4 linked regions of the Lonchura striata genome follow. Each later gene encodes a partner of the first gene's protein in a complex. Links are inferred from orthologs where the notes say so. Each region holds a gene or a part of one and is shown in the gene's direction. Other genes may lie near its edges.

Evidence for each region.
Region 2: SMARCD1 (region 1) and DPF3 share a complex: the UniProt entries of both Homo sapiens proteins name them as parts of the BAF complex. The link is inferred for Lonchura striata from reciprocal best matches to the Homo sapiens genes SMARCD1 and DPF3.
Region 3: SMARCD1 (region 1) and ARID1B share a complex: the UniProt entries of both Homo sapiens proteins name them as parts of the neuron-specific chromatin remodeling complex. The link is inferred for Lonchura striata from reciprocal best matches to the Homo sapiens genes SMARCD1 and ARID1B.
Region 4: SMARCD1 (region 1) and PBRM1 share a complex: the UniProt entries of both Homo sapiens proteins name them as parts of the SWI/SNF-B (PBAF) chromatin remodeling complex. The link is inferred for Lonchura striata from reciprocal best matches to the Homo sapiens genes SMARCD1 and PBRM1.

The regions. Positions count from the first base shown.
Region 1 is NC_134629.1:8,796,708-8,804,257, forward strand, and holds the start of SMARCD1 (SWI/SNF-related matrix-associated actin-dependent regulator of chromatin subfamily D member 1), read left to right. Parts: upstream 1-4,543; coding exon 4,544-4,708; intron 4,709-4,782; coding exon 4,783-4,970; intron 4,971-5,757; coding exon 5,758-5,800; intron 5,801-5,884; coding exon 5,885-6,007; intron 6,008-6,626; coding exon 6,627-6,749; intron 6,750-7,233; coding exon 7,234-7,350; intron 7,351-7,550. UniProt on the Homo sapiens protein: Involved in transcriptional activation and repression of select genes by chromatin remodeling (alteration of DNA-nucleosome topology).
Region 2 is NC_134608.1:35,481,765-35,489,299, reverse strand, and holds the start of DPF3 (zinc finger protein DPF3), read left to right. Parts: upstream 1-4,533; 5' UTR 4,534-4,595; coding exon 4,596-4,627; intron 4,628-7,535. UniProt on the Homo sapiens protein: Belongs to the neuron-specific chromatin remodeling complex (nBAF complex).
Region 3 is NC_134605.1:54,590,819-54,598,762, reverse strand, and holds the start of ARID1B (AT-rich interactive domain-containing protein 1B), read left to right. Parts: upstream 1-4,939; 5' UTR 4,940-5,012; coding exon 5,013-6,764; intron 6,765-7,944. UniProt on the Homo sapiens protein: Involved in transcriptional activation and repression of select genes by chromatin remodeling (alteration of DNA-nucleosome topology).
Region 4 is NC_134614.1:9,332,002-9,339,059, forward strand, and holds the start of PBRM1 (protein polybromo-1), read left to right. Parts: upstream 1-4,054; 5' UTR 4,055-4,168; intron 4,169-6,481; 5' UTR 6,482-6,565; coding exon 6,566-6,613; intron 6,614-7,058. Other genes in the region: GNL3 (guanine nucleotide-binding protein-like 3), read right to left, coding at 1-115, 551-638, 1,111-1,246, 1,509-1,612, 2,065-2,200, 2,463-2,546, 2,706-2,819, 3,403-3,540 and 2 more. UniProt on the Homo sapiens protein: Involved in transcriptional activation and repression of select genes by chromatin remodeling (alteration of DNA-nucleosome topology). Required for the stability of the SWI/SNF chromatin remodeling complex SWI/SNF-B (PBAF).

The DNA.
Region 1 (7,550 bases):
ACCCAGCCATCCTCGGGGAGAAAGGCACAAGGAAACCCCTGGCCCCATTCATCCCCAGCCGGGGATGCCCCCCTGGCACCGCCGTGGCGGGGAAGGCAGCAGAGCCCCAACACCCCCGGGGTTCAGGGGGGCCCTGGGGCCACGGCTCCAGCCCCGCTGAGCCCCGGCAGCCCTGGCCCGGGGGGTTTGGGGTGTCTGTGGGTTCCCAGCGCCGTGCTGCCCCTCCCTGGCACAGCCCTGCCCTGGCTGGGGTCCGTGGCCACCAGGTCACTGCCCCCTGGGCCTGTCAGTGCCCACCAGTCCCCTCCGGGGTCCCCGTTGGGCCCCCCCAGCCCCCAGGCCAGAGCCCTCCCCGGGCCCAAAGTGCTACTTATCTTTAAGAGCTTTTGCAATAAGTCTTTTTAGTAATTTTTTTTTTTTTTCTAAACGGCAGTTTTGGTTTTTATTCTTGTCATTTTAATTCTTATTATTTGCTTCCTGACCAAAATTAGGAACTGGGGGTCATTCCTTTGTATCCAGCAATCACCCAAAGACGACGGCTCGGCCACATCCATAAATTTTCTTATGGATTTCTCCTAATGTTTCATCATGTTTCATTTATTTATTTTCTTTCTTTATCTTTCCCATTCAAGCTTTTAAAGATGGGGCTGGGATTTGACCTTGAGGCTCACCTGTTGAAGAAAACTCTTTTTTGTTATTATGTCATCGGCATTTTATATTTCTTATATATAATATATATGACTATATATATATGTGTACATATATATATATATATCTATATGCATCATGCCACTGTAGATACCCATCCAGTAGCATTTAGGCCTTGTTCTTGTGCCATTTTTTTTTTTTTTTCTGTTACTGATCTCTGAATGCCTTCAAGTGTATAAAGTGTGGAATTCTCTCCGGTATCTGTACTATGTACACACATTTTCATAGGAAGCACAATAAGATGACAGATGCATTGTACATCAATACCTGCTACTCTTAACAACGATGATATAAAGAATGATATAAATGATATAACTCCCCCATGCCAAGCCTTTCTCTCTTGCTGAGCTGCTGGAAATGCTCCCCCGAGGAGGCAGGTGGGGACAGCCTCATCCCGGGATGCTCCTGGAGCCCAGGGAAAGGGAAGGGGAGGAAAAAGCTTCGGGCCAGACTTCAGGAGCAGGGGCAGAGCTGAGGCTGGGCTGAGCCTCCCTTTCCTGGGAGCTCCTGGTGCCTCATCGAGCTCCAGCCTCGCTGCCTTCCCAAGGAACACAGGGCTGGAGGAGGGAAATGATTCCTCTTCCTGAGCAGGGAAAGGAGAATTAACACTCACAGAGCTGTTAATCCCTGACAGCTCCGTGGTTTGGGACCCACAGGAGTCACCAGGTGGAATTTCATCCTGGGAGCACAACCCAAATATAAACACACACACCTTTTGTCCTAAAAATTTCCAGCTACAAAGAGCAGTAGTAACAACAGAGCAGATCCAACAGAGGGCATCCAGAAAAAGCCCTCAGGACTCCATGGAGATGGAATAATAGGGAGTGGGAGTGGGCAGGGAACGCTGAAATGCCAACGCACACCCTCCTCCCCCGGTCCCTTGGCTCCGACCGTGTCCCCTGGCTCCTGGAAATGGCAGAAATGCAGTTTTGCATCTCAACGAGAACAGTCTCACCCCGCTCTGGCGCTTCCCGGCCAGAGCTGGAGGAGCAAAGGGCAGGGGGTGGGATTGGAAGGAGAACGGACGGGCCAGGAGGGCGTTAATGACCCCGATAATCGCAGCCGAGCCGTGCCCGCTCCCTCCCCGCGGCATCCCCGGCTCCGGGGGCTGGATATCCCCCCGGCTCCGGGGGCTGGATATCCCCCCGGCTCCGGGGGCTGTAATCCCCCCGGCTCCGGGGGCTGGATATCCCCCCGGCTCCGGGAGCTGTAGTCCCCCCGGCTCTAGGGGCTGCAATCCCCCCGGCTCCAGGGCCTGTAGTCCCCCAGCTCCGGGGGCTGTAATCCCCCCGGCTCCGGGGGCTGGATATCCCCCCGGCTCCGGGGGCTGTAATCCCCCGGCTCCGGGGGCTGTAATACCCCCGGCTCCGCGGGCTGTAGTCCCCCGGCTCCGGGGGCTGTAATCCTCCGGCTCTGGGGGCTGCAATCCCCCCAGCTCCGCGGGCTGTAATCCCCCCGGCTCCGGGGGCTGTAGTCCCCCGGCTCCGCGGGCTGTAGTCCCCCGGCTCCGCGGGCTGTAATCCCCCCGGCTCCGCGGGCTGTAGTCCCCCGGCTCCGCGGGCTGTAATCCCCCCGGCTCCGGGGGCTGTAATCCCCCCGGCTCTGGGGGCTGTAATCCCCCCGGCTCCGGGGGCTGTAATCCCCCAGCTCCGGGGGCTGTAGTCCCCCGGCTCCGGGGGCTGTAGTCCCCCGGCTCCGGGGGCTGTAATACCCCCGGCTCCGGGGGCTGTAATCCTCCGGCTCCGGGGGCTGTAATCCGCCCGGCTCCGGGGGCTGTAGTCCCCCCGGCTCCGGGGGCTGTAATACCCCCGGCTCCGGGGGCTGTAATACCCCGGCTCCGGGGGCTGTAGTCCCCCGGCTCCGCGGGCTGTAGTCCCCCCGGCTCTGGGGGCTGTAATACCCCGGCTCCGGGGGCTGGATATCCCCCCGGCTCCGGGGGCTGTAATCCCTCGGCTGCGCCGGGAGCAGGTCACCCCGTCCATCTGTCACAGAGCGGCTCTCCGGGAGCTGTCTGAGCCCCAGGGGCAGCACAGCCCTGCAATTCCCGTGGGATGCAGCAGGTACCACCGGGATGGGACGTGCAGAAGCTGCTCTTTGCAGGCACAAGACTCCATCGTGTCCATTGGAGCATCGGGGGACAGCAGGAGTGGGCTGGGGACATCAGCCCCGTGGGGATGCGGGGCTTCAGGCTGTTTGGGATCTGGAGACCCTCAGTCTGTTCAGGATCTGAAGTTGTTTGAGATACAGGCAGCCTCACCCTGACCAGGATTTAGGGAGCCTCTGGAGATCTAGGGAGTTCTGGGGACCTTCAGCCCGTTCAGGATCCACGGAGACTCAGCCCATGGAGACACCCAGCCCACTCAGGCTCTGTGGAGATCCCGAGATTGCACCACCTCCTGTCGCAGGTCAGAATTCCCCGTCTCCCCTCGCTGGCTGCTGGTGACAGCAGGCACCGAGGGACAATGCCACAGCCCCGGCTGCTGCCAAAGTTTCCATGGAGCCACCAGCAGGTGCAGGGGAGGCATTTCCAAAGCTGTTCCACCAAACCCCTCCGGACAGGAGAAAGGAGGAAGGGCACAATGAGGTCACCCCAGAGCCTGTCCAGAATGAACAATCCCAATTCTCCCAGTCTTTCCTCACAGCAGAGCTGCTCCATCCCTCGGATCATCCTGGTGCCTCCTCCTGACTCGCTCCAGCAGCTCCACATCCTCCCTGGGCTGGGACCTCCAGGCTGGAGGCAGCACTCATCAGATGATCATCATTAATTGTTTAATTAATACTCGTGGTGTGATTGCACACTTGGCTTTTTCCACGGATTAATGCTGACTGGATTTGTGTCCCTTTTCTCTCTGGGCACAAGAAACCGCTTCAGGGAAAAGGAACTTAATGTTAATACTTGCAGAAAGTGGCCTTTAACTCCAACCCCAGGGGAGACAGGAATCTTTTTCCTGGTGCTCTGCCTGAACCTGCACAAACTGGACCCATTTGTGGCCATTTGTTTTCCCCATAAACTTCATCCCTAAGAATCCCTGAGGTTGGAAAAGATCACCAAGTCCAAACTGTGACTGATCCCAACTGAGTTCCACGTCCAGCTTTTCCCTGGACATCTCCAGGGATGGTGACTCCCCCATCTCTCAGGACAGCCCCTCACCACCCTTTCCATGGAGAAATTCCTCCTGAATGTAACAGGGGGGAGCTCAGGTGAGGGGTGTCACTGCCACACCTGCACATCGGGGCCCTCCATGCCTGGGAAAGGCACATCCACCTCCCTCCGAGCACATCCCGGAGCAAGGGAGGCTCCAGCACCAGGGAACAGGGGCTGTAATCACAGCTGGGGAGTGGAGGCTGACACCCCCGAGCCTTCCCAGTGTTTGGGATCATCCTGCACCCCCCAGTCCCACCCCTCACTGTCCCCATTCCCTTCCCTCACCCCCAGTCCCACCCCTCACTGTCCCCATTCCCTTTCCTCACCCCCAGTCCCACCCCTCACTGTCCCCATTCCCTTTCCTCACCCCCAGTCCCACCCCTCACTGTCCCCATTCCCTTCCCTCACCCCCAGTCCCACCCCTCACTGTCCCCATTCCCTTTCCTCACCCCCAGTCCCACCCCTCACTGTCCCCATTCCCTTTCCTCACCCCCAGTCCCACCCCTCACTGTCCCCATTCCCTTCCCGCACCCCCAGTCCCTCACGGCCCCGAATCGCCCCCCCAATCGCCGCCGCTCGGTCCTCCCCCGGCAGGGGGCGCTGCGGGCGGCGGCCGCGGGCGGCTCCTCCCCGGCGCTCCGCGCGCCGCGCGCGGCCGCTTCCGGTTCCGCTCCCTTTGTGCGAGACAAGATGGCGGCGCGGGCCGGGTTCCAGTCGGGGCCTGCGAGCGGCGGCGGCGCTGGGGCCGCGCCCGGGGCCGCGCTGGGCCCCGGAGCGCCGGGCGGGGCGGTGCGCATGGGCCCGGCGCCGGGGCAGGGCCTGTACCGCTCGCCGTTGCCCGGAGCCGCCTACCCGGTGAGGCGGGGCGGCGCGGGGCGGGGCGCGGCGCCGGGCGCGGCGGGCGCTGACCGAGTCTGTTCTCTCCGCAGCGCCCCGGGATGCTGCCGGGCGGCCGCCTGGCGCCGCAGGGCCCGGCCATGGGGCCTCCCGGGTACGGAGGGAGCCCAGCGGTGCGGCCCGCGCTGGCGCAGGCCGGGCTGGACCAGGCTCGCAAGCGGCCTGCGCCGCAGCAGCTTCAGCAGGTGCAGCCGCAGGCGGTGCCCAACCGCAACCACAAGTAAGGCACGGGAGAGGGCGCATCCCGGGGCTATCGGGGACATCTCCGGCTCCTGGGGACATCCCGGACAATGGGAGTATCTCGGGGCAGCAGCAGCAACATCCCCTGGGCTGTCGTGGGGATCGGGAGGAATTTCTTCATGGAAATGGCCAGGCTTTGGAGGGGGCTGCCCAGGAAGGTGGTGGAGTTCCCATCCCTGGAGGTTTCCAAAGAATGATGGACGTGGCACTGAGTGCTCTGGGTTGGTGACAAGGTGGGGATCGGGTACAGCTTGGAGTCAAGGGTCTGGAATGGGTCTTTTCCAATCTCAAGGATTTTGGAGTTCTTGGTCCTCCTGCAGTGCTGAAGGGTCCTGTCAGGTCCTTGTGCATTCCCCTGGGACTGGAGGACAACGCTGGGCAGGGCAGGGCTGAGTTTATGTCACATGCCTGCATCCTGATGTGATGGCCCAGTGAGAATGAAATTTGTCCTGGATTTAAAATGCTGTCCCTGGAAAAGGCAATCCAAAGTTGATTGAGGCTGGAGGTCACTTGGTGTGGATGTTGTGTCAAGTCCTCCTTCCCAAGGGGTGAACCTTCTTTCCAACAGAGGCAGCCTGTTTTTAATAGATGTAATTCCTGTTCCTGTGCTCAGAAGGGTGGGGAACATTGAGATAACCAGTTAGCCCCACTGGAGCAGGGCCCAGCTAACTGGGGAGCCCCTGGCCACTCGGTGCTGCAGGTCTTTGAGCTCCTGTGCCCAGAGCCATTCCCATTTTCACGCCTCTTTTGTCTCTTGCCCCTGTCAGTGCCAAGAAGAAGAAGATGGCAGATAAAATCCTCCCACAGCGGGTGAGTGGGGTACGGGGAGGGGCTCGGGGGGAGGTGAGGCAGCCTGGGGAGCTGGTGGGCATTTCCATCCTTGCTTGGCCACAGATCCGTGAGCTCGTGCCCGAATCCCAGGCCTACATGGACCTGCTGGCCTTCGAGAGGAAGCTGGACCAGACCATCATGAGGAAGCGCCTGGACATCCAGGAGGCTCTGAAACGTCCCATCAAGGTAAGGGGAGTCTGGGTTGTCTCCAGGCTTTGGAAGCTCCTGAGTTCAGGCAGCAGGAGGGCACTGAAGGGTTGTGTCCTCTGAGTGTGGCATATCAGAGGTCCCAGTGCTCTGGACACAGCCAGGGACTGGTGTCGCTATTGGACGCGAGTACACAGAAGCTTGGTAAGTTTAAAAGAGAAAAAGAGCTAATTTTATTTCTGACCTCATAATAAATAGAATTCTAAAAGTGACAGTGGATTGGAGGATGAAATTGCCACCTCTCCAACCACACTGGTCAAACCAGCAGTCCATCAATTCTCTCTTCCCACAAAGGAGAATGCAAAACAATCATTATTTACATGGACAACGTGTGAGAACTCCAGTAGAAATCTGTAAACATTATCAGAAGGTTAAAGAAGTTCTATGAGAACTTTAAAACTTTCAAAATATCTATAAAAGAAAACACTTTTAAAAATCAGGGTGACAGAGTGGGACCAGAGTGGGTCCTCGCTGTGTGCTCCAGGAGAGGGAGAATGCGAGGCAGCTGAAAACACTGAGCTCGGTTGTAGCAAAGCCTGTGCAGGACAGCTGGCCCTGTGCAGGAGGATTGACGCTGAGCTGATGCTTTTTCTCCTAGCAAAAGCGAAAGCTGCGTATTTTTATCTCCAACACCTTCAACCCCGCCAAGTCGGACGCGGAGGACGGCGAAGGAACCGTCGCCTCCTGGGAGCTTCGGGTGGAAGGACGGCTGTTGGAGGATGTAAGTGGGAAGTGCCCATCCTCAGAGGACACTGTGGATGTGGAGTTGGCAATGAAACCAGTTTCCCAGTGTCTGAGAGCACAGCTGGGGCTTGATATCCTCCTTCATCTCTGTTTCCCAAGGAGTCTGATGGTGACGAGACCGAGAGCCCAGCTTGGAGACCGATGGGTGTCCCCATGGCAGGACATGAATTGTCCAAAGTTCTTAGAGTTGTGAGAATCACTGGTGAGAGCAGCTCAGTGGCACTTGTGTCCCCGGCTCTGAGAACCAGGGCACTGGCATTGTACGTAACTGCTGAGGGGTTTAACTCCTGCGAGCTCATCTTTAACTCCAGTCTTTCCCTTTCTGACTTGGAAACTTGATTTTTGAGCACACGTTGGTGAATTCAGGTGTTCAGAACTTAGAGGAGCTGTTGTGCACGGTGGCTGTGCTTGAGTGCTGAGACTTGCTGCCCTAACCCTCTTCCTCCCTGTGTTGCTTGCAGTCTGCTCTGTCCAAATATGATGCCACCAAGCAGAAAAGGAAATTTTCGTCCTTCTTTAAATCTCTGGTCATTGAACTTGATAAAGACCTGTATGGCCCTGACAATCACCTAGTAGAGGTGAGCTGCTTTTTGCTGTGTTTCCTCTAAAAAGTGGGTTGGTGTTTCAGCAGGTGGGGTTTGTGTGTTATTTATAACTTGGGAGGTGGGAATCCTTGAGGCTTCTAGGAGCCAGGAGCTCTTGAATTCTCACTTTGGCTTTTCCTCTCACTTCCTGAAGGTCAGAACAAATGTACTGATTCTTGTTTCAAACTCTAAGT
Region 2 (7,535 bases), on another chromosome or scaffold:
AGACTTGAGCCAGGCTCTGGGAACTTCTGTCTCCCCAAATTTTTGAAAGCTTCAGATTGAGGCCTCCATGTACATCTTACTACTAGAGACTCCTCTTTAGTGTTAAAATGTATTTTATCAGAATATCCCATTAAAAAATAGTGGGTTTGAGTCCAGACATCAGCATGCAAGTAATTAAAAACTGAACAGTGCATACAATAAAGAAAACTGGATAACAGAATCAGGCCTGAAATCAAGATACACTAAAGATGTCCAAGATTTGTTGCTATAAGTTTAGAGGGGAAATTTTGCTTAAGAAAAAAGCTAAAAATTTGAGGTCCCTTTCATGGATACAATTCCCAAAGTTGTGAAGAATGAATTGTTGGTGCCAGTTTTTACACAGTATAGCTCCATAGTTATCTTTGTTATGCTGACTATGTAATTTTTTTGGGAATGTGTCTGTAGAAGGCTGGTGTTGAGTCTGTAACACTGACACTCTGATATCTTTTCCTCCTTTTTCAGCTAAGCAACTATTGGTAAAGATCAAAGAAAGGGAGGAGGAGGGCTGACAAGAAACAGTGTATGAGAGATGCCTGCACAGCTTTAATAAATAAAAAGGGGTTAAGGCTTCAAATCTCTTGCAGGATATCTGTGCATGTGGGGCCCTGTTTTGCTGTAACAAGCTACATTATAGCACACTATCTTATTTAGACCTATATGATTCTGATACTTTGAATATTAATATATATTAACAAAAGAAAATTATAAATCACTAGAAATACCTGAGAATATTTAACAGTTGCTAATCTACCAGAAACCACTTTTTTTCAGCTCTGTTCTTTGTTTCCTTCCACAGCAAAATTAGATTTGTGGCTTTTAATGTTGGTGTCTAGTTTGTTTCACTTTCCAATTCACAAGAGTTGAGGAATATACGATAAGAACCTAACTTTCTTTCCCTCCAGAAAGCAGCAACTCTACGTTAAAACTTAACAAGATAAAACAGAAAGCAGAAGATAATAAGTACAAGGTAAAAATTCTTTCAAAGTTTGAAATATTGTCAGCTAAAATAAAGCTTTTCAGGGTTATGTAAATAGTAAAAATGTTTGAAACAGAGGCATCACACTTACCAATACACTGAGAAGATATGACACTGTGTTTCTTCTTCTTGAGTAGAGACAAGCTACAGTTCTGTATGAGGGGCTGGAGGTGAGGTGGTGGACTCCCTTCTAAAGCCCTGCTCACTCTGACCCTATAGATGCAGCATGCTCAGGCCTTGTGTTAATGCTACAGATGTTACCCCAATAGATTTGTGTCAAAACTTACCTTTTTCAAAATTTATGTGCTGGCTGTCCAAACATTTGGCAAGCTCTCGTTAAGAATATGCCCACCCAGGGCTTTTTATGCCATATACTTTTAAATTATTTATACTTTCTTGCAGCCTCCTTGCTATGTTTCAGGTGAGTGTGAATAAAACTAACAGTAACTAAGTACAAATGTAAAAATCCTGAAGTTGTGATTTAGTGTATACGTAACTGAGTGTGTCTCAACTTTGTTGGTCTTTCAGGATGTAAAACAACAGTAGCATTACTGATTAGTGACTTATGGTACATTAAAATCAGAAGAAAAATTAATCTAATAACCTACCAATGATGGACTGGTGTATATGTAAAAATGCAGGTAACTATGATGTGGCATGAAATTTTTATTAATACAGGTTTGTGATGTTCCCCCTGCTTGCAAACAGTGAACATGTAAACAAGTTCTGTAGTTCATTACAAGCAAAATGCCCATCAGTGCTCTGTGCTTTTTCTTTCAGCTAAAATGGTAACCTAACTGTTGTGGGATTCTGCATGAAAAACACTGTGGGCAAATTATATGGACGTGTGAGCAAAGCCTGATCTCTTCATTACTGCAGGTGAGACTTCCCACTGCTCTGATATGGCAGCTCTGTCCTTGGGTGTCCTGGAGATTCCTTTGAGTGAGGCAGTGCTGTTGACTGGCTCTCTTAGCCAGGAATGTGGGGTCTGCCTGGGAAAAGGGCTATCAACAATCCAAGGTCATCTGTGCCTGTTCTCACTGTTTGTTGCTTTTGCTGGTAGCTGATAAAAGCCCAACGTCTGAATAACAGGAGCAGCCAGGGAAGCCTGTATGGCTTCATCCCGTTTTTGCAATACACTCCCTGCCAAGCTGTACCAAGAGCTCATGGCCTGCAGAGCAGGAATGGGCCTATATATCCAACAATATAGGACCAGAGGGACTCATTAAACTTCTAAACATGACCTCAAACAGGGTTTCTTAATTATTTGAAAATGTCACGAGTTTGCATTAGAAAATCTCAGGGCTTTCTAGAGCTTGGTCAGATTTTCGTACCTTCTCTCAGTAACACAAATCTATCTCCTGTTCTGCAGTGTGATATGGTCCTAGGCTGTTTTTTTCTTATATGTGAAGCAAAATCATTATCCCACAAGTGAATATTGCCCATCCTACAGGAAGTACTCAAGTGTTTGCCATCAAGCAAATATCACAGCAACAAGAAAAGTCAAACCAGAAATCCTCGTATTAGTGAGATGGGGTGTAGGTTGCTAGTCTGTGGTCACCAGTTCAGGTGCATGCTATGCCATTTGCCATTTATTTCTTTGCAGCACACACATCAACTGTGTGCTTGTGACAAGTTGGCAGTTTGTGGTTAGCTTTTCCTGTGAGCAGTGAGAGGTACTATGCAGGGAGGGTCTGACGTTGCATTCAATGTCACCTGGACCACTATATATTAAATAATATAATGTAATATGATAATGGAAATGTTCTTAAAGATTACTTCCCAGAACTGTTTTGGGATAGATCTCAGCATCTTGGAAACTCTCCAGCTGACAGAAAGCTTATTTCTCCTAAGCAGTGCCTGTAACCAAATGGCTTAGATTGCTTTGATGGAAGAGATACTTCCCTCCAGGGATATACGCCTGGCACAGTACCTAAGTTGACCTAGTAGCGGGAATAAGTAAAGTTTCAGAAAGAGGGACACTAGACAGATCCTAAATTTTAACTTCTTGCAAACTTCTGATGAATCCTTAATGAACAGAAAACCGCTGCATTATACTTATGTACCTGTCTTCACTGTGAGTAACAGTCATACTCTTTCTGTTCTCCATTCCTCTTCCTTTTCTCTTTTGCCCTAGTATTGGAAAGTTTTATTTGTAAAGTAGTTGAGCAAGAGAGATTTTGGTTGTCTTTACTTTTTCAAGTTCAGTCCAGGAAGATTGCTATTTCTACTTCTGGTAATGTCTTACAAACATCACTATTTTCATTCTGTTATTCATTAAGTTGGGAATGAAAATGTTTTTCTAGTTTTTCTCACTTTTCCCTCTGCTTTGACAGTAGTGTCTTTTAATTGTCTTTAGTTGAGTTTCTTCTGAATGTATAGATGCAAAGAATGGCGATGTAGGCTTGATTTTGGTGGTGCTTCTTTGTGTTTTTTAGAAGGATGGAGGATGCCTGAAGGGAAACGAGGCTTTTGGGAGTGGAAGAAAAGTATGAGATGACAAAGTTGACATTGCTATCAGACAAGTAAAAAACTTGTTTGATTCTGCTCTTGTTGGCACCTAATTTACACTGGAGCAATTTCGTGAACTTCAGTGAGTTTACTTCTGAGAGTGAGATCAGTATCTGAGAGTGAGATCAGGATTGACACCTCTTAAATCACTTGGGTCGTGCTCCATAATTCATTCGCAAGTTCCTTTAATTAGTTGCAGGTAAACCCAGGCTTCCTGGAGTTCGCCGCCTCCCTAGGAATGGGCTCTGCGTGCTGCTCCCTGCCGCGCTCCGGGGTCCAGCCTCCGCCTTCTGTCTCACCGCCGGGCTGCATGTCCGGTGGGACGCGGGTCAGGGCTCTTCCCCTCGCGGCTCCCTGTGTCGGACGGAGACGGGGCCCGGCTCCCGGCGCGCCAGAAGTTGCTCTGTGGGAGAAAGTTGCGGGGCTGTGCAGGGCCGGCCGGGCGGTCCGGCCGCCGCGTGTTATGTAAGGGCGCAGGGGCTGCGGGCCGGGATGACTGACAGGGAGAGGGAAATTCCTGGGGGAGGGGGAGCGGGAGCGGCGCTGCCCTGAAGCCGCTGCCAGAACCGGCGGCTCACGGAGACCTGCGGGGAGCGCGGCCGCGCAGAAAGGGAAGCGGCGCGGGAGGGACGCTGCCGGGCAGCGTGCGGAGCGAGCGGGCAGCGCGGGCTCGTTCCCCCAGCGGGGCAAGCCGCCTGGGAAACCGGGGGCTAGCGGCGGCGGTGCGAGGGGACGAGGAACGAGCCCGGCTTCCCCTCTCCCGGCGCGGCGCGTTCGAGCCGGGGCCGGAGCGCGGCGGGGAAGTGCCTCGCTGGAGCCCGGGGTGCCCCCGGCGCAGCGGCGGCCTCGGCGGCGGCGCTGCCCCTTTAAGACCTGCTCGCCGCCAGTTCCAGGGAGAGGGAGTGACCTCTGGGCTTTGACAGCTCCCCTAATAACTAGCAGCGCCCGGCCCCGCCCCCGCCGCGCCATTGGCTGGCGGGCCGGTATGCCGCGCTGCCATTGGCTGGCCGCTTCCCCTGAGCGAACCTTTAGAACTCCGAGACACAATATTCTGTTACATTGTAGCAAAATGGCGACTGTCATTCACAACCCCCTGAAAGCGTAAGTAGGAATCAAAAATGTACATATTCCGCGTGGTTTAAATATGAAAAAAGGCGCCTTTCCGGCGCCGGCTGCCAGCCGGAGCCGGGTGCCGGCAGCCTCTCGGCGGGTCCCTCCTACCGCCCTCCTTTCTGCCTCAGCGGCTCGCTCGTTTTTTTGTGCAACACATCCCCGCGGCTCGCGCCGAAATTAACGAGGAAAAAATTGTTGGGTTAATTGGCGACCGGGCGCGGGGCGGGGGGCGTCGGGCCGGGGGGCGGCGGCGGGGAGCCCGCCCGGCGCTCCCGGAGCTCAGCGCGGGGTCGGCGGCGGCCGCGTCCCGCGGGGGTGCGCGCACTTGACAGCGTCCTGCCCCCGCTGCCCCGGCGGGCTGGCCCCGCCACCGCGCTCGGCGGGGCACCGACCGGCCCGCGGGGGCGCTCGGTGCGCGGTGCCTCCGCGCTCCCACCGCGGCTCGGAGTTGCCTCGGGAAATCTTTGGGGAGTTGGGATGTCTTGACGAAGCGACCCCCCTCGCTTCTCGGCTGGGCGGTCGGAAAGCGGGGCGGCGGGGGCTTTGCCGGTGCGCCTCGGCGCCCGTGCAGGAGAGGGAGCGGAGAGGCGAGGCAGGGAAGCAGACTTGGGTGAAATGAATGACTCGGGACTGCCGGTCGCTGATTTTGGGCAGGAAGTCCGGAGATCTGTTTTGCATATGACAGGCTTTCGCTTTTCAAAGTGGCAAAGAGAGTTGATTGTGTTTCCATCTTGAGAGCGGGCACAAGCCGCCGAGGGCTGTACGGACGGGGTCTGACCCCAGCTTGAGAGAGGGAGGGGGCAGGTACTTCTGCTGCGGAGGTATTCCGGGGCTCCCGGTCTGGAACTAGGGCTGATTTCTGAGGGGCACCGCGGGAGCCGGTTGTCGTCTTCTGGATCGCGTCCTTTATTTTCCTTGTGGTCTGCAGCGCACGCCGCTAATCCCCGAAGGCATTAGGGAGAGTGGGATTTGGCACCGTATGTGGGGAGCGGAGCTATCTTAACCTTTTTCAAACGACTTCCCTGCTAACGGGGGCAGCGCTCTTCCTAGTGAAGCAGGGAAGCAGAGTACCTGGCGGTGACGCTTCGCTTGCACTTTCTGGCTGCGCTGAGTGGGTGTTTTTATACCTTTGAGTTTTGTGAGATGAAATTAGGGCTGCGAGGTTTTTTCTTTTTCTTTTTTTTTTTTTTTTCTTTTTTTTTTTCTTTTTTTCTTTCCCGGCTCGAGTCTCTCCGCCTGGAGTTGGAAAAACACTTGAAGGTTTTTCCAGGGATTTCTGCCGCTGTGTCTCTGCGATCCAGAGGGAAAGGAAAGCCTCGAGCTGGGAAGGGGTGCTGACATGTTTATCAGCTTTCCTGCTCCGTCCTGGCAGAAAAACCTTTGCTTTCATTTACTCGCCCTCTCGGATATAAAAATCCGCGGGGAGAGGGGAGCGCAGTTGCAGGGGGTTAATCGAAGCAGTCCGAGTGTCCTCATGGGTGGGTGCCGAGGGACTGAACGCGCTCTGAAAACCGCGCGGCAGAGGCAGCGTTTCTCCCCCCGCGTTCGACGGCAGGTTTACGCTTGTGCAGGCGACAGCGATTTCTCCCCGCGCCCCTCCCGGCCGCCGGCCGCGGGCAGAGCACCCCGGGGCCGCACCGCCCGGCTTTGCACCTGGGCACGGAGCACCGCGGATGCGTGCGCCGTTCGCGGCTGCTGCCGGTAGCGGGGAAGCCCGGGCTCGGTGGCCCCTGGGGACGGCGAGAGGGAGGCGGGGAGCTCCCGGGAGCGGCCACGGGAGCACGGCTGGCGGCCCCGGCCCCCGCCCCGCCGGCGGACGGGACCTTGCCGCCTCGCACCGCACTTCGTGGCACCGTGGGGCTCCCGGCAGCCGCGGCGCTCCCTGCCGAAGGGCCGCTTGTGCCGAAATGAATCGGGGCCCGATCCCGCTGCTGCTGAAGTCTGGGAGGACAGGATGAGGCCATTTATAATTAGCTCCCTTCTCCTCCCCTCGCCCCTGGGGGGTGTGAGAGGAGGAAACAATAGACATCAAGTGCTGGTTTCGCTTTTCTCTGTGTGCCTTTTAAAGTACTAAGGCTATGTGGAGGAAGTAGAATTGGTACTGGCTGTCTGACACCATCTGTAATTTTGTTGACAACTTGTTTAATAAAACATTTTATAATTTTCACTTATTCTTTAAAGTTGCTGATCGGGAAACAATACACATGTAAATAAATTATGCATGGGATAAATTAGGACAAAAGCAGTAGGACACATAATAGGGGAGGGATGCAGTCCACATTGTTTTATCCTCATGTGTCCTTCCTGACAATGAACGGGAGCTGAATGACATTTGCATTTCCTCTGTCTGCGTTTTGATTGTATCTCAGAACCCACAAACGCCCCCTACAGAAACCGGCCACACAAAGGTTTTGCTCCGAAATGGGGGACAATGTAGGGACTGAGAAATCCTGGCTCAGGTATCAAGCAGCTCCTTGTGTATGCTTGTGCATTTAGGAGTGTCTAATATTCAGTTTGTCTCTGGCACTTGGACACACATGTGGCCTTGTTCATGCTACACTACTCTCTCTGAATAATGTATTCCAGTACCTGAGCATCTATGGGAATGCATTTCATAGAACAGCTCAGTGTGTGGAGTCCCTTATTAATGATTGGTTTCTCCCTACTCAACTTGCCTTTTCTCTGTCACTTTCTGGTTCTCTTTTGGTGCTTTCTTCCCTCTGCTCTTCTCCCCTTCACTTCCTCTGGTGCACCAGTTTACCTGACATGACTGTCTGTTATTTCTGCCATTTATTAGCTTGTTGTTTACGGTGCTACAGACAAAAATATCTGAGATCTAAGTTTAACAGATCTGCAAGGTAAAGGTAGCAGGTGTTTGGACAAGCACATGCTTCTT
Region 3 (7,944 bases), on another chromosome or scaffold:
TACCAATCTCATTTATTTTATGAGAGTGAAAGCTGTGTACTGTCAGTTTGACTGTTCCTTCAACGTATCAGTCAACCTGGCATGCTACAAGTGGCAAAAGGAAGGACCTCCAAACCAGTGTGTAGTGAGCAACAAATATTTCTTTTGGTTTCCCATATATCTCTTGCACATCAGAAAAGATTTGTAAAAGGCAGGAGAATGGGAAAGAAACTTGGCAGAGAACTCTATGATTACTGTTATACTGATTCTTGTTTAACTTTTCTAATTTATAAAAAATGTGATCATAAATTATTAATTCAAAGGAAGGCCAGCCTTTTCCTAAATTTCTCCAAAATGCAATGATGTTCTCAAACATTGGCACAGGATCCAGAAATATTAGAGTAACTCAGTTTAAAGGCTTAGATTTCACTGGTAGGTGAACCCTGAAATCAACAATCCTTCTATTACTGCCAAATGCAAGATTTTGTTTTGGCTTAGACAATTGGTTGGACCCCTATCTCACCAAAACAGAGACACAAGAGCTGTTTTTTCACAGAGGCCTCAGTCCACAGAAGCACAGGACTTAAGCACAGAAGCACAGGGCTTAAGTTTAAGGAAGCAAGTGATCTTACTGACTTCAATGGATGATTCGCATTTGTAAAATTGAGGCATTTAAGCAGTCTATTCAAGTGATCTAACTCTAGCGGGTTGCATCTTCATAATAAAATAATGTATGACATTTTCGAGATGGTGATGGTGATGTTGTAAAGTCCTTTTGTTCACACATTGCCAGAAGAAATGGATTAAATTGCCCAGGATTAGTAGCTGCTAAAGATTGGATTTTAATTAATTGGTACAATGTGTCACTCTCTGCGTGTTTTAGGCCATGATCTGTTGGCATAAACCACATTTTTTTCAAAGTTCACTTTGTCCAGCTAAAATAAAATTTTTACACTTACCTTACAGGCTTTACACCTAACAGAATCTGGCTTATCAGCTGGACATCTATGGCACTAGTTTATTTTTTACATTTGTGACTGAAATGTAAATATTACATAATAAAGAAAACAACCCTGTGTTATATTTATATGTTGACCACATAAGGGATCTTTTAAAGCAAAATTCCATTACTATAGTTCTAAATGCCAGGCTAAAACAACCCTGAGCTGGCTGCCTACTTTTCTGTGATCTGATTTATGCCTTATTGAAATAAATTAAAAGATTTGCACTGACTTCAGAATGATTTTGATTGGATGTTTAACTAGTAATAGAAGTGATAATTTAATAAAAGTCCCCATACTTCTCTCTTTTTTTCTCATTAAATCAAATGCAAATGTAAAAGAAGGAAATTGAGAATTACAGTGAATTTGACAACAGTTTCATTAAATTGTGCAGTGTATTTAACCATAAAGCACAACAAGATCCCAATGAAAAGCTCCTTCTTTTGTACACAGAGATTTTTCAGATTCCTGTGCACACCAATGTCAAATCCAACAGGGTCTTGAAACTCAGATTGGATTTTTACCAAAAAAATTTAACATATTTTTCCCAATACCTCTAACATAACATCTCAGAGATATTACAATATTGGTTTGTTTTCCGTCTCTCTCTTCAGTGTTACTCTTTGTATGACTTGGAAGGCCAAACAGAAGGATGGCTGCTGTACTGAGGGGAAAAGCAGTAACTTTCATGGGCTTGAGATACAGACAGGTGGCCTAGGGTGTCTGTATAAATGCTGTAGCCAATGGTGTAAACAAATTACCAACAGCAAGTTTAGAAAATTATGTTGTTTATTTTGATGAGGGATCCTAGAGCACCACAGTTTATAATTTATCAAGAAAAATAAAGAGAAATAAATTACACTTGGACAACACTGGTTTATAGAAAATAATCAAATGGAAGGAACAATGAAAATAAAACTAAAGTTGAAACTGCGCACTTGCGATATCAAATATCAATGCAATCACTTTGCAGCAGATAATATGCACGGTAATTAAAGCTTTTTTACATTATATTATAATAAATTCATAATTCATGCATACAATGAGAGCTTTTGGAAAGAAGCATTTGAATTTAACAAACACTACCACTCATCATCTGAGCAAAGATGGCAAAAGGAATTTCAACATTATTTGCGCTCTAGAAAATTGAACCATCGTTGTTGCTTTGTGTTGTGCTTCCCTTGCACAGACTGCAGTGCCTTCTGTCTGCTTTAGGGTGTGGCATCTGCCATTGGGGAGGAAAAACTGGCATGTGTTGCCTTTTATAGCAGACTGATTTCATTGTGCTGAGGGCCTCAATTTTATAGCCTCTTAGTTCCAATCTTGTAGCCGAGTTGCTGAAACAAATGGGAGGAAAAGGAGTTAGTGGTACGAACTCTTCAGTTTAAAGCCTCGTGCTTTTTTTGTCCTTTTCCCAGAGAAAACATTTCAAAGTAAATCTGTGTTAAACTTTTGCGGGTTATTTTCCCGATTGGAAAGAGTTGCGGAGTGTGTCAGGAAGTACTGCGATCTGCAGCCCGGGCACTATCAGCACATCTTAGCAGATCATCGATACACGTATTTTTGCTCAAATAGAAATGTCTCAAAGTATAAGTGTTTAATTGATTTTATATTTTATGTTAGAGTACACATGTAAAGAAATACACACAAGGAGAAGTCTATATTTTTATTTGCATATGAAAGACTTTTAAAATCAACTTAGGTGGTTTAATGTGTATAATTAGCGTGCATTTGAATATAGAAAAGAAGAAAATCCAGGAGATAATGTCAAAAAGGCTCACTAACAAAGATGTAGTATTCTCTTGGCAAAAGCAGATGAATGATTTGGCATGAATTCATCTTACGGTTCTGTTATTCTCTCTCCTACAAAGATGATATATCCCTTTCTAGCAGTTTGCATAGAATTGCAATTTGTTGTTGTTACAGACTGTAATGACCCTTGGGTATGCACCTGATTCCCCCCGCTAGAATTACTCACCATTTTTTTTTTTCCCACTCTGTGTTTATATATGTGTAGCCATACAACATTTTTGCACTTGCAAAGGATACAAAAAAATCCAAAAAACCACAAAACCACCAACCAACAAAAAAAAACCAAACCCCACAACTGTAAAACAGAAGTATTAGCAAGATGTACTTCTCGAGCACTGAGACTTTTCAAAACTAACTCCCTAATGCAAATCATAATATTTTTGACTTTTCAGACAGAACTAAAATTAATAGACGCTGGAATCACACTGCTCATACATTTATCAATAATCTTTACATGTAACTCAACATTAGAGCATGAAGCTTCTGCTCCTTTAATATTTTCACAGTGAATTCAAAAAAGCCTACCTACTCATGACAGCATCTTTCTTGATATGCTTTTTTCTCTACCATTATGATTGTATCTCCTATTTATCCATTTTGAAATTTGAAAACGTGCTTAACTTTAACAGACCGTATAAATATATTAATTTAAAACATCGTGGTTTAGACCCTTGCTGTTTTGAAAACGTTCGCTAATATCCCAGTTTGCTGTATTCATAGCCAAGTATTTAATCTCCCAAATGCTTTCATTAGTTCAACGTAATGTGTGACTATTACCTTTTGTTATACTAAGGTATCCCTTGTATTAAGATAGTTATAAAAAAACCTTCAAACCATTCTAGTTCAAAAATGTAGGTCAGCAGCAGCTTTCCATTTGGAGCAAGTTACTCAGATTATATATTTTGGGTTTTGTGTTACTACGTTTACATGAGTGTCTTGTGCATACTGGAAATTATATTGTTTGGGGAATCAATTATGAGACTGAAAATGTCTCTGGCTCTTTGATCATCTCTTGTTGAACTGCAAATAAGTACACAGAACATATTGAAAACGGCCCTATATATAAAAGCATCATCAGTGCAAATGACCGTTAGAATTTGGAGACAGCTGGACAATGTGGACAACTGCAAAGATGCTACCACTGCAGAATTGTAGGTTAAATGTTATAACCGTCTATACATACAAATATAAATCTTCAAGGGGCGGGTGGCTTGTGGGGGGGGAATCCAAAACAAGTCTAATTTCTCCGTCACACGGACAAACGTGTCCCTGCCCTCGGAACAGGAGGCGGCTGCTGAGCACGGAACACGGGGCTGGGGGGCAGCGTGCGGCCCCCCAAAGTTTGACCGATCCATCTTCTCCGGCACAGCTGGAGCGCATGGCGGCTCCTCGCCTCCCTCCCGCCGAACCGGCCCGCGCGGGGCAGCGCCGCCGGCGGCACCCTCGGCCCCGCAGCACCGGGGACAGTCCCGCTCCCCGCCCCGCCCAGCGGCGCCCGTCGGGGCCCGCCTCGACCCCTCGCTCGGAGCAGCTCCCGCGGGTTCGGTGCTCCGCGCAGGCCGCGACCCCCGGCGCGCACACGGGCGGGACCCCGCTGGGAGCGGGGGGACCCGCGAGGGCCGCGCCCCCCATCCCGCCGCGCTGCCGGGAGAGCAGGGAGGGGAGCGGGCGCCCGATCGAGTCCAGCGTGGAGTCCAGTCCGCGTTTTGCGGGTGCGCGGGAGCGATCGGGGCGGAGGGGGCGATGGCTGCCGGCGCTGGCTCGCTCGCTCGCTCATGCCATGCTGGGCCAGCGCGGCTCCGGCAGACGTGTGTTTACCCATATCCGGGTTAGGGAGGAAAGGAGGAGAAAAAAAAAAGTTTCATTTAAACCTGAACAAAAAACTTTCAACGTGAAATCACACAGCGGGAACGGGCACGGACCGTAAGGCGTTCTTACCATTTCTAACCTCAACCACGGACTCGGGGAGGGAAATCGCTGTAACTCGGTGCGTGCGGAGCGGTCCGCAGGGGATACTCTGGGCTCAGTCAAGTCCCTGCCCCGGCCGCTTCCCCTTCTGCCCCTCTCCTCTCCTTCCCCCCACCCCTCTGCTCACCCCCCATTTTTCAGGGTGGGAGTAGATTTTTTTTTTGTTTGTTTAGTTTTTCAGTTTTGGGGTTTTTTAAATTTTTCTGTAGTTACTATTATCTGCACCAATTTCTCCGGACTCGCAATGTTGCGATGATCATGGCCGCGCAAGTCGCAGCGGCTCCGGCGAGTGCGAACAACAGCAAGGGCAAAGCCCCGAGCCTGCCGAGCGGCCTGGGCCCAGAGCGAGGCCCGGGGGGGGCCGGGGCTCCCGGGCCGGGCCCCGCACTGGGGGTCGGCGAGGGGAGTCCGGCCGGCAGCAACAGCGTGAATAATTTAGATCACCATCTCCACCACCACCACCGCGGCGAGCCGCCGAACATGGCCAATAACGCGGCTCCCGCCGCTGCCGCCGGTAACAACAACAACGCCAGCGGCGGCGGTGGCGGCTCCTCCTCGGAGCCGGCTCTGAAGGAAGGTGGAAGCTCCTCGGAGTTATCTTCTTCGTCTTCTTCCTCCTCCTCCTCCTCCTCCTCCAACCCGGGCTCGGCTATGGAGACGGGGCTGCTCCCCAACCACAAGCTGAAGAGCGTCGGAGGCGATCACCCCGCCGCGCCGCCCCACCACCACCATGCCCACCACCCGCATCACCATGCCCACCACCACCATGCCCACCACCCGCACCACCACCACCATGCACTACAGCAGCAGCTAAATCAATTCCCGCCGCCGCCGCCGCAGCAGCCGCCGCCTCAGCACCATCCCGTGCAGAATAACAACAGCAGCCTCGGCGGCGGCGGCGGCGGCAGCGGCAGCAACAACAACGGCGGTGGCGGTGGCGGCGCTGCTCAGCCCAGTGCAGACATGGAGCAGCAGCAACATGGAGGAAAAGACAGTGTTTTGGGCGCTCAGGCCGAGCCCACCCAGCAGCCGCAGCAAATGCTGAATAAAGGCGCCGACGAGGAGGAGATGCCCGGCAAGATGGGCGAGCCCATCGGCGGCCGCTACGACCACCCCGGCTTGGGACCCCTGGGCGGACAGCAGCAGCCCCAGCAGCCGCCCCCGAGCGCTGGGAGCGGCGGCGGCGGCCTCGGCGGCGGCGGCGGGAGCGGGGGAGGCGGCGGCGGCCCCTCCGCGGTGGGTGTCTCGGAGTTCAATAGCTATTATGGCAACCCTGCCCCTGCCCCTGCCAGCAGCGCTACGGCGAGCCGCGCCGGGCCTTGCTTTGATCAACATGGCGGACAACAAAGCCCTGGGATGGGGATAATGCACCCCACGGCGGCCCCCAACAGCATGGACCCCCTGCAGAACTCCCACGAAGGGTACCCCAACAGCCAGTACAACCACTACCCGGGCTACGGCCGCGGCCCCGGCGGCGGCGGCGCGGGCGGCGGCGGCGGCGCGGGAGCCGTGGCGGCGGCGGCGGCGGCCGCTGGGGCAGGCGGCGGCGGCTACGGGGGCTCCGCGGCGGGATACGGGGTGCTGAGCTCCCCGAGGCAGCCCGGCGGCGGCATGATGATGGGCCCCGGCGGCGGAGCCGGCCTCGGCAAGGCTGGTGCCGGCGCGGCGGCGGCGGCCGGCGGCTTTGCGCGGTTCTCCGGGCAGAACCAGCACCCGTCCGGGGCCACCCCTACCCTGAACCAGCTGCTCACGTCCCCCAGCCCCATGATGCGGAGCTACGGCAGCAGCTACCCCGACTACAGCAGCCCCAGCGCCCCGCCGCAACCCCAGCCCCAGGCAGCGGCGGCCGCCCCGGGAAGCCAGCAGGCAGCGGCGGGCATGGGCATGGGCAAGGACATGGGCGCCCAGTACGGAGCGGCGAACCCGGCCTGGGCAGCGGCTCAACAAAGGAACCACCCGGCGATGAGCCCCGGGAACACCGGGCAGGCCATCAGCAGGACCCAGGTAACTCCCCGCGCTCGGTTAATGACGGTTCGTGTCTGTGTCGCTCGTGTCGGGGTCTTAGTTTCTTTATAATTCACTTTCTTTCTCTCCCCCACCCCCTTTTTTTTGTATTTTATTTTTTTTTCTCTTTACCCCCCCCTTCCCCCCTCCCCCCCCCCCCCCCCCCGTTCTCTTCTGGGCCACTTTTGCCCCTCGCTGCCTCCGTAGCGAGGGTGAGCTGTGCACAATGCGTTGGGGCTGGAGGCACCGGAGTGTGGCTTTCGCTGCCGAAATTAGGTTGTTCTCAGACCCAATTAATATTTTCTCCCACCACTTTGAAACAGTGTCGGAGAGACGCAGGGCCCGGAGGACAAACAGCTCGGGACGGACGGGGGCGGGGGATTGGATTTTGTAACCGGAGTGCCGGACCGGGGGGCTCCCGGGGGATAACGTCCATTATCTTTCACGGGGCCTTTTTTTCCTTCTCTCTTTAACCCGTTGCCTTTTTTTTTTTTTTTTTTTTTTTTTTTTTTTTTTTTTCGATCTCCGAGCAGAACGAGTTGCGCCGTTGCGCGCTCTCAGCAAATTAGTTTGTCACTGATTGGAGTTACCGCAGTGAGATCCACGTAACGCGGCCGCGCTCCTTTCCCTGTGGGAAGAGCGCGCGCGCGCGTGTGTGCGCGCGTGTGCGCCCGGTCCGCGCGGGTCGTCCCGGCCCGGTGACCTGCAGGGGACTCGCCCGCCGGCAGGAGCGTGCCCGGTGCGCGGACGCGTAATTGCCTTTCACTTCTCCGCAAACACACGCGGAAATTAAAAAAAAAAAAAAAAAAAAAAAAGAAAAAAGGAGAAAGGGGAAAAAAAAAAAAAAAAGAGGGAAAAGTCCTTGGCGTAAGCGATGGGGCGCGGGCACCGGCGCAGGCCGCCGCCCCCGCTCCCTCCCGCACTCCTCTCCCCCAGCCCCGGTAACTCCGGCGATCGATGGATGGATGGATCCGATCGATAGGCAGGCGCGATGATCGCGGGGCGGCGGGCGCGGCGTAGCGCCTTTCCGGGGCGGCGCGGCGCGGCGCGGCGCGGCAGGAATGCCGGCTGCCGGGCGCGACCCTTGGAGGAGCGTCCGGGTCTCCTCCGCCCGCCAGGTTGGGAATTTGAATTGTGGAGGTAAACTGGCTGCAACCGTCTCCCGACAGCTGCCTCCGAG
Region 4 (7,058 bases), on another chromosome or scaffold:
AGGGTCTATGATACTTCTCAAGGCCAGAGTGAGGGCACTGTTAGAAGGATCTGCAATTATACTTGGACTGTCCAGCATCTTTGTCTGCTTATCAAGGTGCACAATTTGCATGGACCTGTTCAGAGAAAAATGCACTGTGAGCAGATAATCAGTGAAGGACTGGTAATGGTGAGGGATGCAAGACACAAAGCTCAGTGTTGGATTGAATGTACTTCATAAAGTCAGTTTCAATGTTTTGTCATCATGTGCTTTGCGTAGGATAGAAATTTAAACAAACAAAACAAACAAAATTTAAACAAACAAAACAACCTTCAAGCAAAAGCATACATATTCCACAATATAGAATGCTTTGCAAAACATCAAGTTTATACACTATCCCCTGGAGAAAGCTTGCATCACACATACCAATACCTTTCATCTTGCAAATTTTAATGTGCATTTAAAACTGCACACTGGGTGTGCTTTGTCCCTAATGGACTAAAACACAAACTCATGGTAACTGAAACACAACAAACAAGGAAAGGAACAGCTTTTATCAGACTGAGCTTACTTGGTAACACCTCTTGTCAGGCCAACATTACAAGCACGCTTTCCTTTGAGACTGTTGATTATGCTGCTCTTTCCCACATTAGGGAAACCTGAGGAAAAATCACATAAATCCTTTTAAGTTAATAAGAAAACAGCTTTTTAACACCAATCAAAACAGCTTCTTCCAGGTAGCTTTGCTAACGTAAGCATCAGTGTGAGATCAGAGTTGGATCTGAAGTCTTCACTACAGAAGTAAGACAAAGAATGTATCCTCATTTCTCACACTTGTAGGATTTGTGGTGCTATACTCCATGGGATTTTTGTCAGGCATGGGGAAGGCAGGGCCAGTGGAGCACATATCCTGCCTTCTTTGTTCTCCCACAGATCCCCGTGCTGCACATGGCAGTGCACCATGGATCCCTGGCAGCTGAAGCACTACAACACTGAGAGTCTTGGAGCAAAGAACAGTGACTAGAAAGCTCATTAGCAAACCAGGTGTCAGCAGTTTTACCCAGTCCAGGAATACAGGATCCCAAAGCTTTATAGGAGAAAGAAACTCCTCCTGTTTCTCCAAACACTTACCTACAACCCCAACCTGAATGGCTTTGTCTTGGGTCTTGCCATACCCTTGAAGAAGCTTCAAAAGGCATTTGCTTCCAAAATACTGAGTGGTTTCTGCGAAATCAACACGTGCATGTCTTTTTGTGACCTGTTCCTGCTACCAGATTCAAAGGCAAAAAAAAGCCCATGGTCAGGAGCTATTAAGGAAGATAAAATATGGATACTTAGATTTATTAATCTACTGTAATTTCCGTGCTAAGAATTCTCCCACTGTATTGCAAAGCTCAATTGAAGTGTAAAGGCACATCCATCAACCAAAAAGTGCAACCAAACCAGGGAGAAAGGAATTTTAAAGATGTTCCAACATGTATGACTGCAAACACATGAACTTTTCGTGGGACAGCCTGCAGTGCTCTTACCATAGTCTTGTCCTTCATAATTGTTGCTGACTTAAAAGCAACTGTTGGAAACTCCTTCTTCAAATAATTCAACCATTTCTCTATGTTGTTCTTTGGCACCAAATCTGGAAAGAAGAGCAGTTCTTTCACTCCTTAAATTAATCCTATCATGACAAATACCATTTGGCTGAGAACTCTAATATGAAGTACTGGATACCTTCCCCAAAGGCACACAGAGTCTCTCTTTCTGCCTTAGCAGAACATATCACAATTACATTTCTGGCCTCTGTATTAGGCTTTTAATGCTGGGCTCTGGCTAGAAGACTTTGCATGGTACAGAATGATCTGTGAAAGATTCTGACTTCTACCACAGAGTTCCCTTTGCTCTTCTTGTTGCTCTTGGTATTTTGTTTTCTTTAATTAGCTACTGGTACTGGGTAATTTCCAGCCTTTGTAGTGAGCTCAGAGTTGGATCTCATGTCTTCAATGGAATCTCAGATTCCTTTAAAATCTTCATAGCTCACCCACCACAGAAACACAGTGCCAGTAACACTTTGAGAAAACCTGTGTTTCTTACCAATTTTGTTCAGAACCAAGAGCAGCTTTTTGTTCCCTCCAGAGGAAGTGACAGCTTGCTCCAGCTGAGGACACCTGCAGCCCATTGGATCTCTGGCATCCAAAACCTCCAGAACTACATCTGAGGCCTCAAGCACCTGGGTCAGAAAAAAGACAGGAATCCAACAAGACATCACAGACCAGATTACAATTCTGCTATAGCTGTGGCTTACAAAAATAGTTAACATTTTCTGTTGTAAAATCCCATCAGTGTTCTAGTTTATCACAGACAAACTTTGTGCTCTAAACAGTAATACAAAAAAAGCAAAATAACAAGTGATCTTATTGCTGACTCTTTAGTGATATAAAATATCTATATATCTATATCTAATGATAAAAAAAATAGTTAAAGCATTTCACCTTCATAAGCTCCCTGCAGAATGATTTCTTAGAATTTTTATTCAGTGGTTTTTTAGTCTTTCCTTTAGATTTGCCAGGGGAGTCCTAAAGCAAATAAAAACAAAAGGAAATTATTTAAATGAGAATTAGTGTCTACTACTTGTGTGCATATTCAGCATGAAAATGTAAACTGCTGCTTAAGAAGGTGCAGTTTCAGGATGACTTCTCCAGGTTCAAGGAATCAAAATCATACAGGACCCCTACCTTTCCCTCTGCTTTCTCCTTGATTGTGACTGCATTCTTTTTAGCTTCCAGCTTCCTCTTCTTTTCATGTTCTTTCTGTCTATTGAGCTTCTGCTTTTGTTTCAGTTCTTCAAGCTGATCACAAACAAAAACCCAGGGCAGATAAAACATCTTCGAAGGTGCTAAGGAAGAATGTTCTTTCTCCCCATTCCTGACCCAAGCTCCTGAGCCAGCTCAGTTAGAAGTCCTGGCTGTCCAAGTAACTCTGGGAACTCTTTTTTTGCATCCTACCCAGAGGCAGCCATGCATTTGCTTGATCCCAGAACAGCAGCGCTGCAGCCACCACTACAGCTGACAAATGCCACATTAGTGCACACTGCAGACAGCAGATCCCGATTTTCTGTGTAATCACATAATGCCATGATTTAACTCCCAGCACTCTGATGGGACATTTCTGTATCCCAGCACCACAGGGAATTCTGACTGCATTAGAAAAGACACTTCCAGCATGCTCCCATCCCAGTGAGGAAACGAAGGTTAAAAATAAAAGAGCAAATCAATGCACACGGTACGGTGCTGGAAATAAATACATCATTTTTCCAAAGCACGAGTTTGCTGGGACCATCTACCATGACTGCTCCTCTGAGTGCACACAAAGCTTCCTTACAGAAGGGGATGCTCTCAGTTCTTGTTCTCTTTACCGAAAACTGTGTTTTACCCTCTGCTTTCTTTGCTCCGCTTCCCGCAGCAGCTCTTCCTTAAACGGCGCAGCACTGGGAATTCCGGGGTCTTTCTTGGGCTTCTTGTGGCCGCGTTTCTTGGCCTCCTTGCGGACTTTCCGGTGGTGTTCTCTTATCTGAGGGAAGCACAAGAAATGAGGGCAGGCACAAGAAACGTTCTCACTCTGAGGCCCAAAACTTCAGCGCAGCGGCCCCAAAATCGCCGAACGCGGCGCGGGGGCCGCGCTGGGCCGGGCCTCACCTTCTTCTGGATCTTGTAGCGCTTGTGGCAGCTCAGCCTCTTGCTCGCCTTCCGCAGCTCTGCAACGCACCGCGCCCGTCAGCGCCGCAAACATCCCCCGGCCCCGACTCCCGCCTCCTCCACCGCTGCCGCTCGCTCGGCCACGGGCGGCCGCCGCCCCCCGGTGCCGGGCCGCCGCCCGCGCCCTCCCCGTGCCGTTCCCGCCCGCTCGGTGCCCGTGCCCGTGCCCGTCCCGGAGCCGCTCCCGGCGCTCACTCGGCCGCTTCATGGCGCCGCCACGTGCTCCCGCCGGCGGGCGCTGCCGTAAAGCGCGCCGGCGCTGCCCCGCCGGGGTGTCGCGCGGGCTCGGCGCGTTGGGCGGCCGGGCGCGCTTTGCGGCAGCGGCGGCGGCGGCACCGGCGGTGTCGGACGGGCGGTACCGGCGGGACGGGCCGGGCCGGGCGGACCCCGCGCACCCACCCCGGGTCGGCCGCGGCTGCGGGAGGCGGAGCGGAGCCGGCGGGGTGAGCGGCGCGGGCGGGGCGCGGGCCGGAGCTTGGAGGCCGCTGCCTCCCTTTGTGTGGCGGCGCCGCCCGAGCGCGCAGCGGCCCCGGCGCGCCGGGCCCGGGGCACCGAGCGCCGCCGGCCCCCGTCACCTGCCCGGGCCCGGGTGCGCCTCAGCCCCTCCTCCCCGCCCCGCTCCCGCCGTGTTCCCGTGCCGGCGCCGCCCGGGCCCGCGCGCTGAGCGCGGCGGGTCGTGCCCCGCGGGGCGGGCCCGGGACCCCGTCCTGGCCGCCCGGTGCCGGGAAAGGCTTTTCTTTGTTTCCTGCCGGGGATAGCGCCTCACCTCCCGGGCAGGGCTCCGGCGCCTCGGGCAGTTCCGGATTTGCTGCCTTTGTTCCTTGTCCCGGTGCCGGTAAAACGATGGATGTGTTGTCCCTCTCGCTTTCCCGTCAGCTTTGCCCTGTTACCGTGCCTGGCTGCTGCCAGCCCCCTCTTCCCATCCCGTAGCAGCTTTCAATGGGATCGGTAACCGGGGGAAATTCCGGCTTTTCCCTCCCCTGTTCCCTTTGCGTTTCCCTCCCCTGTTCCCTTTGCTAAATTTACCGTGTTTCGTGTTTCTGGTGAAACGTGGGAGATCCTGATAGCAATAAGTACTACCCGTGGTATCTGTTGGCTTTTCGCTTTCCTCTGCCTGGAGGCAGAAAATGAACCTCTAGTGTGTTAGAACGTTTTATTTTAAGTGTGTTATGTCCGACGAGTGTAAAACCTGTGGGTGTAGGGAGGTTGGAGTGGGTGACACTTGTTGTGGTCCTTCCCTACAGCTTTTGGGAGGGACAGCCTTCCTTCCTTCCCCCCGTTGTGTATATCAGTATACATGTGAATTAGTAATGGCCAAAGCCTTTCTTGCTGTGGTTTTGTGACATTTTTATGGCTGGTGGGGGCAATTACCGAGGAGATGCTCAAGCTGCTGTTGAATTGGAGGTGGTCAGTGGTAGCAGTGGAGATTCTTGGTGTGACTGTTGAGAGACCTGTGAGCCAGCAGTGCAATTGCAGAAGAAACTCAGGGAGAGAGGTTCTTCAGCAAAGCTGTGTTTCTGTGCACAGCTGAGTTCTCTGTGCTTAGGAGTGTGGCAGTTTAGGAAGAAGTTTGTGTTTTGGAGCCTCACCTTCAGTGAGTGGTACATCAGCAGGTCTCTCCCTGAGTGTTTGTGATGTTGTCCAGACTGATGCATGTTTTACAGGGTTATTAGAGGAGAAAAACGTGTTTTGGAGGCTGTGTGAGTGGTGAGGGTACCTTGATCACAGCAGTGTCAGAGTATGGCTGAGATCCACAGCATTGTGCCCCGGACAGTACACATGGAGCAGCTGATGTACAGTCTGCAGGCAGTTCTGGTTGGGAGCTTCCCAGATCTTTATTTCAGGATGGGACTGGTCTGAGTGTACTCTTGGGTTCCTGGTTGAAGCAGAATTATTGATTCTGGTAGTCCCTCCTGCCTTTCCTCCACAACCAAGGGCTTGTGTTTCCCAGCACCTGCCTGGTGGAGCCACTCCAGACTGTAGCCCTCAGATGGAAGTTGGAGGCTGTGCCAAGGCTTGAGGCTGTTGTCAGTTCCCAAAATGAATTGCCTGCTGATAAACCACAGAGCTTCTCTGCATGTTCATGTTACGAGAATGTTCAGAGTGCTGAACTGTAAAAGAACCTCTCTGGGGTTTGATTGAAGGCAGGAGTTGGAAGAACTACGCAGAAGCAAACATTTTGCTATTAAATGGTTCTGTGTATTTCACATGGAATTTCTGTGAAAAAAATAAGGCTTGGAGGCTTAGAAATTGAAACTTTTTTTTTTTTTTTAGCGTATGGCTGCATACTTACTGCTTACTTCTGAGTATAAAAGTCTACTCTGAAGAATTTTGGAGGTGCATCATCTTAGAGTTTAATAAATGCTTGTTGACCTTAAGATTATGTTCTTATAAGCACTGTACTGCTTTGCATTCTGTAAGTTTTACAGCTTTCTGGTTTGTACTCTCAGGTCAGGTATCACTTCTGTTTACTTTCTGCTCTTGATGAATCATTCTCTAGCAAGTGGCGGTGAAATCTGTAATGCATATTCAGGAACATGAGAGAAATGTATTTTTACTGTGACAATGACAGAAGTGTCTAGCATTCTGTGTACAGAATTACTTTGTAGAGTTTCTGCTGGGCTATAAAAAGTTGCCTTCTGTTTCTTGCTTTTTTTCTCTGTCACTGTAATTATCCACTTTATTCTTTGATTTTATTCTTTATCTACCTAGTCTGAATTTTCTTCTCTCTCTCTTTGCTTTTTCTTGTCTTCCAGTTGTGGCTGTACTAACACCATTACTGGTTTGCCACTCTTAGAGTGTCCCCTTCTCGCAGTATCTGTGCTTGCCCATCAGACACTATGAGGAGATTGGCTTTTCGAGGTGCTGGTTCTACTCTGGTAAATCTGGTAAATTATTGATTGTATCTCCATCCCTCTGCCTTGGCCTTTTGCTTTTCTTTTTCCTAGCTGTTAATTATTCCTACCTTACTCATCTCATGTGTGTGCCTGAAGTTGTCTCTAAGAGAAATGCTTTAATGCAGTTACCTCGTGCTGCCATACCTTGTCAACCATCTGAGTGCCTCCTGAAAGAAATCCCTGGATTTGGTTGGAAAATGGGGATGGGCTGGGATAGATGCATCTGTTCTGTGCTCAGCCTTTGAGATAGCCACAAATAAAGATACGTTTCTGATGCTGTCACTGGAAGTTGGGAAAGAGCCAATAACTTGTTCCATAAATTACCATAGTTGTTGGATGGTGGTTATTCATTTGTCACTGCTTGTGTTGGTAAATGCAAAACTATGGCCAGAAGAGGAGGGAGCTTTTTCTGTTTCTCCATGGTTGAGCCATTCAT